Linked DNA regions of Schizosaccharomyces pombe. Changing the gene in region 1 together with any one later gene gives a genetic interaction. Each region holds a gene or a part of one and is shown on either strand. Other genes may lie near its edges. The genes, in order: uds1 and pdp2.

Region 1 (3,927 bases):
TACAGACACTAGCGCCTTCTCCATCATATGTTCCACTTTTGAAGGTTATTGGAAGCTCTGAGGAGGTCAATAGCAACTTGGTATTAACCGACTTGGAAACAAATACTGATGGATATGATCCTAAATTTTTGATTTCTGTTAGGAAGTTTTTGATGGGATCTCCCAACTCTGGCTTTGTCGTTAAACATGAGAAACGTCTTCCAGATGGACCGCGTGTTCTGGCCCTTCGAGCCATTTCATCAGTCGATGAAGAAAATAGAAAAGAGCGCCTATCTCCTGATAGTGATCCTGTTGAAACAGAATCTGTTTATGTTGACAATGGAGAATTGTCAAATCAAAAAGTAGAAACAGTTGAAATTTCCGAAAAAGAACAAAATGATGATCCCGCCGGATATTCTCAATACCTTCTAGAGTTCAAGAAGAGTAAATGTCAAAAGAAAGTGCCGACTTTAGAGAGTATTGAGGAAAATGAAGGAACGGAACCTCATGACAACTTGACCTTTATGACTGATTTGGGAACTCCATACTATTCTCTGGGTAATGAATTTGAAAGAAAGCAAATTTTGGATGAATACGGGTTGCTGGCTAATGATGAAAACCTAGTTATTGGACACACGTTAAGAGCGGAGTATTGCTTTATGTTTGATGAAAGCGATATCCTGCAATTACGCAATTATGAACATACAGAAAAGGAACTTAGTGTCCTTCAATTTAAAGGGGTCTCGTCACGTTGGGATTTTCGTTGCTGTAGAGAAGAACGTTTACTCCGATTGCTACTATGTTTCGACAGTGAACATACTGGGCAATCTTTCATTCAACTGAACGATCCTGAAAATGAAAATGAAAAGGAAGAACAAAATTCCATTAGCATTAGGGAATTATCCTACTTCAGCACAAAACTTATTTCATTGATCTTACCCAAAGAAGCACATAAGCAGCGGTATATCATGCTAAGCTCCTTAGCAAAGACAAGGGAAGCTGATTTCTTTTGGTCTGAAGAGGAAAAAACTAATTATACAAACGAGCTTCTCAGCAACCCATGCAAATTCCTTTGTGAACTAGATCATTTCGATTCATTTCCTCATCAACAACAAGATCTACTCTGGAAGTACTTAGCGGAGTTTTCTGCTAGTTTAGAGTTAGACCCCAACCTTGCCCTTTGGAAGAAGCAAGTTATTTTTTCAAAAATCGGTCATCCGAAGTTGCTGGTTATGCCAATATCTAGTTTCCACTGCGTACAACGTTTCCCTGACCTTGTTTGCGTTCAAACTTCAACTGCTGAAACGTTTTTGTCTGTGGATCGTGAATTAACAACTTATGACCTAAACACTATTAAGTTGTTAAACACAGCACCTAGTCGTACAGCTCAAAACTGGCTTTTTATCATGCATCACCTAGAAATTGTAGGCTATTTATTTCCACATTTGGTTCATCTCGATAAACAGTATAGTTTATTAGATTATGCAAAGTCTGTTGAGCACATTCCAGAATTGGGCACTGTACAACGAAAAGGGTTTTTGAACAAAGTCGCATTTGATGATAACGAGGCTTTACTTTACCAAGTTTAAACGTACTGTCACATAATTTTCTATCACATGTTATCGACCATTCAGTGTTGAGGTTCCTAGGAATCTCTTCTAGGATGGTAGTGTACCTTTTAAGCGAAATTTTGTTTCATCTGCACATTCATTATTTACAAACCTATACGAACTTGACAAAAGTTTTTACGAATATACTAAATATTGACTTATTAATACTTGAAAATATTATCACTTTTTTTGAGGTGGTCTAAGTAAAAATGTGTAGGTCGAATTCGTCACATAGGGTAATAAATGTAAGTGTAGGACCGTTAAAGTATGCTCTAAATAATCTTTTAACATATAAAAAGTAATGTGGATTATTTGCAAACACCATAATGAATGTTGATCAAAATACCGGTTCAACGTCGATAAATAACAAACAGCAGAGCCCACCGATACACAAACCTAAAATTGCAAAGGGACTTTAATAGTCGTATAATCTGGAGAATGAAATGCTTAGCGACCGATCATTGCAACGTGATAATAGGTTGGCTTAGGTGCTTTGTTTATTTACATTTCAATGTTAGTTGTCATGGAAACGAAATTCATACAAAATAAAGCGTATGCGGCTGTAAACAAACAAAAGATTCAACATTTACATTTACCCATTTTACCCAAAAATGGGGTTTCATGGATGTTTAAGTACAGATGAATATGAACCTGAGTTAATTGAGAAATATGGGAATCCTGAACCACCTTCTTCAAGCATATTAATTAATACACGACCAGTCAATCCATTTTTATCCACTTTCGTGTATGTAGGAAAGGCTAGCAGTTCTGAAGATGTGTCTATATCTACAGGTGAGGAGGAAATGCGAACCCTTTTAGTTGCGTCTGCTGTTAAAGATGCAAAAGGTTGGGTGTACCTTTCCGGAAAAGACGTTGAAGAAATAAAACAGAAAATAAAAAACCTGCAGGGATTACTTGGTGTTTCTATAAAAAAACTGGCTGTCGAAGCCAAAATTAGAGAAGCTGCTAAGAATTTGATGGTTGCCCAAGCTAAGGAGAAAAAAGGAAAACATAAACAAAGTACGATAGAGCATTACGAACAATGTTCTCGTAGAGTTAGAGAACTTTCTTCTAAGATATGGCTTATTGAAAGGAAACTTGCAGAATTTTATATGCACCTATTGAAGCATATGGTTGCTGTGTGCATTGCTGAGCTTAAACCAGGTAGCTGTAGCAAGGTATCTTCACCGGTTTCTGCCATCACCGCTGATGAGAGCGCAACTGGATTTCGAGATGAAGAAATAATGAACAATGAGGAAATTGAGCAGCTTGTAGAGCGTATGAGCCGTATACTGGAAATTGCTCAATCAATGGGTAATTCAATTCGTGAACCATCTGTCCTAGATGCAGTACAAATGAACGCTGGTGAACGGCTACTCGAGCAAGTTCGTCACTTAGAGCTTATTTTGAAACAAATATACGAGAAAAAGTTGGAGGAAGATGCTGATGCGAAAGATATTGCTCCTCGCGCTATTGTGAACTTTTGGCGGTTACTTACTGAGCTGTTTCGCGGCGACAATGATACGCCAGAGAAGAGTAATGCACTTCCTGATGATGAACTCGATAAACATTTGAAATCTGATTTTGACATTGAATCATTTTGCTTTCTTCTGCACCATCTATTGTCATTATACCAAACACAAAAGAAAGAGCTTGCTTCAAGCAATGAACTTCTAGCAAGTGTCCGAGATGAAAATACGAAAAAGCTTAAGGAGCTTCAAGATATCATTGAAGAGCAGAGTAAACATATGGCTCGCCTTCATAGGGAAGGGTTTTCTGAGGCCGCTGAAAATAACGATAAACCTAAAGAAACAATGCCTTGTACGTATGATTCATCTCTAGCAGATGACCATTCGGATACCTCCAACCTGAGTAAAGATAAGGCGAATACACTTTGTGCCCAGTGTTCAGTATATCTTTCTGAAAAGTATCAGCAACAGCAGTCCTTGTTGCAATTGGAGTCTAATATCCAGCAATTGGAAAATGAGAAAAAAGCTGCCAAGCTTATAGAAAAGGATCTGTTGTCTCAGATTTCTCATGTCAAACTGCAATTTGAGCAACAAATAAAGGCACATCATTATGCGAAAGACCAGGTTAGAAATTTGAACGACGAGATGGTTGCCTTACGTGCTGAGCTTGAAGTTGTAAAGGCTATGAATTCCCAGCCTGATGATCCCGATTCCGATTATGCAATAAAGCAGAACAATGCATTGCAGAACAGATTAGAGGCTTTGACAAGAGAAAATGAGTTATTACAATCTCGCGTTACAACTTTGGAAATGGAAAAAGAAGTTCAGGAGAAGAACTCTGCTACTGTAAGCAACCTTACGCTAAAGCA
Region 2 (3,927 bases), 2.5 Mb from region 1:
AAGCAAACTGAAGGCTAGAATAATAAGGGCAATTGGCATGTTGTAAGACTATCACAAAAAAAAAAGACAGTCTAAGGTATAAGTTGAATTGAGTTTTTTGTGGTATTGTTAAACACAACTTCCAAAAAATAAAGGTTTATTTGTTTGTTTTAGTTCTTAACGCAAAACATTTTCACTATTTTTGACCAGTTGACAAATCTACTGCTGCTACGCCATCCTCAGGTTCAGCTAGATTTGGAGTTTGTTCGGTACCATCTTCAGCAAAATCTTTACCAGCAACTTCTAAAGAATTATCGGCATCCTTGCTACTTTTCTCTTCACTTATCATGTCTTTTGAAGCATCAGCTGTTTCGTTCTCGTTTTGTGTTGGTCCGTTGGAATCAGCTTTAACTTTATCCTCGTTGTCTTCATTCTGCTTTTGATCCGTGAGCTGTTCAGCTGGTGGAGACGGCGTTGGTTTTGATTCAGAGCCTTCATCAAGAGAAGCTATCTCGGTTTCATTTTCATTTGCTATTGATGCATCCTGTGTTTGTGAAGCATCGGTTGACAGTTGTTTTTGAGATGAAATCTCCTGCAGCAAAGATTTCCATCTGTTCTCCAAAATATCTCCACATATGCTTTTGACTTCGTCCTCATTTTCTTTTGGAAGTCCAGCTAAGGAAAAAATCTTCCTCACGACAACAGCAATTTTAGTTTTCTGGATTAATGGAACATCAATACCTTGGAAGTTTGCGAGCTTGTCTAGATAATTATGAACTAATTTATAGTCGACTTGACTAAGGTCCTGTTTTGGTGATAACAGGCTGCTTTGTAATTTGTGTCGAAGAAACAACAAAGATTGCTCTCGTGAGTGAAAAGTTCTCTTTGCAACGTCTTCTTCATTAGCGACAGAGCCCTCTTCTTCTTCTTTATCCTTTTCTATCTCGTCGGAGGATGCTCTTTTAGATGAAGGGCTTTTCTTTTTAGAAGCAGCAGTACTACGCCGAGGAGAAACACGAGTTTTTTTTGCAGGGTTCGAACTAACGTTTGAGGATGCATTGAGGCGTTTTTGTGGTACGGATTCAAGTGAAGGGTCAAATGTTACGGTTTTTTTCTTTGTACCTTTCCTAGTAATGCGTCTAGCTTTCGTATCATTATAATCTTCTTCTATTGGAGATGGTTCCGACATTTCTTGGTCAGATTCTTCTTCAGAAACTTCTGATTCGGAAGAAGGAACGGACAACGAGTCCAGATCTGGTGTACTTTGAGCCATTTTATAAGCTTTAATCAAACTAGCAGTTTTTGGCTTGGGTTTTTCCAAGAATTGTGATATGGCCTCTGAAGTTAAAGGAGTAAGAGAATCAGATCCTGTCCATAGGTATTCCTTGTTGGGAAAGAAAATTACGGGATAAAATGTTCCTGCACGCTTTGGTTTAGACTTTCTCGCGACGCTGGTCATTTTGCTCTCTGTAACGACCATACTAGGCCACCATGGGAATCCCGACATTTTTGTTAAAACGCGCATTCCAGGCTTATAATTGACGCGTTCAGATTGTTTGGTTTCTTTTCTCGCATTGCCGTTAGACTTCTCAGATTTTTGACTTTTTATATCGCCAATATTATTGGAAGGCTGATCCGTTTCTATAGTTTTCCTATCTTTGGAATCAGATTCCTCTTCCAAACCTTTTGAACTTTTGTCATTTGCTTCCTTATCGTCCAAATCCTTATCATCACCTACATCCCTTTGGATTTTAATATCTTCTGCTCCATTCGAACTGGTGGTTTCGATATTTTTCGAATTGTTAGTTGCCGTTGACATTTCTCGTGATTCAACTGCAATAGAAGACTCTTCTTGTTTTCCAGGATTTTCATCCTTTACGCTTGAATCCTTTATTTCAGTCATTTTACAAAACACCGTATTACCCAAAACGTCCTGTAAAAGGTAAAGGGAAGAAGCATTAATGTGAGATGGTAGACATAATGAGCACGTAGTTCTCACCGTATCATTTCATTAACCGAAGGTTTATTCTAAATAAAATTAAGCGAGGAAGTAAGGATGCTAACGCCATTGAGTTTTACGCTATTGATCAGTAAAAGTTATAATAGTTGGAGATACTAACAAACATGTAGTAGCGGATGTTTAAAGAATTCTAAAGGCTTTTATAAATATTAGGCCCATATAAATGCCCATTACTATTAAAGAACAAAACAAATTAAGATATTAACATTTGGAAATGGACTTGTATTATTTTTTTTTAAGAAAGTTTCTAAAGTAAAAGGAAACAATAATTCAATTGATTTAATGTTTATGTGAAAAATCTAAAGGAGAACGTTTATCGGCAAAACGAGAACACAAAAACAAACCCAAAATACAACCGCTAATTCATCCAAGAAATTAGCAAAATGAAACGAACAGACTATAAATTAAGCAGAAACCACCAACAGTGATTCAATCAAAAAGGAATATTAACAGTCAAATCGCATGAACTCATATATTAGACACTTTAGGCGGCAAACTAAAGATCATGAGATCCGATCCATTCACTCCATCTCTTGACTTCTGATGGCATTTCCTTCTTCTCAGATAAAACGGAAGGGAGCTTCTCCTTCAAGGACTCAACAAACAATTTGGCGCAGTTAACATCATTAATAAGAGTGACGTTGAAGTCAACAGCATTTCTGCGCATCACATAGTCTTGATCCAAAACGTTCTTGCCGCGAGCAGAAGCCAAGTTGAAAACCGAGCGAATATTGTATTTTTCAAATATAGCACGTAAAGCACGCTTGTCCTTAACAGGGAACTCAACGACTTCAGCAGAGGTAGGCTGTAATAATTTAGCAGCATCTTTATTAGCAACGTAAAGTTTATATCCAAGCTTGGAAAGGTCAGCAGCAATACCAGCAAGTTCAGGTCGATCACCACCTAAAAGTATACCTTGACCTGGAAGAGGAATCTTAAAGTTTTGAGTAGACTGAAGTGCAGCCCAATAGGCTTCCTTTACATCCTTACCGAAACAAGCAACTTCACCAGTGGAGCTCATTTCAACACCAAGGTAAGGGTCAGCACCGGCCAAACGTGTCCAGGAGAACTGGGGAACTTTAACGCAAACATAATCACGATGCACAGCCATCAAATCACGAGCAGCTGGTACTTCTTGATCAATAATAGAACGAGTAGCAACGTCAATGAAGTTAACGCCAAGAGTCTTGGAAACAAAAGGGAATGAACGAGAAGCACGAAGGTTACATTCAATAACCTTCAAGTCAGGAGTATCAGGTTTATCAGGGTTTTGGGCCAAGATAATTTGCATGTTGTAAGGACCAGTAATTTGGAAAGCTTTGCATACTTTCTCGGCTATTTCTTTACATCGGCTTAAAATATCTTCGCTAAGTGAGTAAGGAGGAAGGGCGATAGTAGCATCACCAGAGTGAACACCTGCGTTTTCAACATGTTCCGAAACGGCATGAACTAAAAGTTTACCCTTGGAAGCAACAGCATCAACATCGAGTTCCCGAGCACCCTCGATAAACTTGGTAATGACAACTGGATGATCAGGAGAAACAGCTGAAGCATTTTCTAACTTATCCTTTAGACTAGATTCATCGCGAATAACACTCATGGCAGCACCAGATAAAACATAGGAAGGACGTACTAAAACAGGATAACCAACTGCATTTGCAAATTTGCTTGCCTCGGCTACAGACGTAAGCTCTTTCCAAGCAGGTTGGTCAACACCAATTTTGTCTAAAATCTGAGAAAATTTATGACGGTCTTCAGCTGAATCAATCATCAAAGGATCAGTACCCAATACCTTAGCACCAGTCTCTTGTAACTTCAAGGCGATATTTTGAGGAAGTTGACCACCAACACTTACTACAATGCCAGATGCGGTTTCCATCTCGTAAATATCCATAACTCTTTCATAGGACAATTCTTCGAAATACAAA

The links.
Region 2: mutations in uds1 (region 1) and pdp2 together harm fitness less than expected from each alone (positive genetic interaction), as found in Schizosaccharomyces pombe (one large-scale study listed by BioGRID).

Annotation. Positions count from the first base shown.
Region 1 is NC_003423.3:1,564,203-1,568,129, forward strand, and holds the start of uds1 (septation protein Uds1), read left to right. Parts: upstream 1-2,162; 5' UTR 2,163-2,200; coding exon 2,201-3,927. Other genes in the region: protein meu25, read left to right, coding at 1-1,568.
Region 2 is NC_003423.3:4,039,241-4,043,167, forward strand, and holds the start of pdp2 (PWWP domain containing protein), read right to left. Parts: upstream 1,930-3,927; 5' UTR 1,883-1,929; coding exon 176-1,882; 3' UTR 1-175. Other genes in the region: arginine specific carbamoyl-phosphate synthase Arg4, read right to left, coding at 2,496-3,927.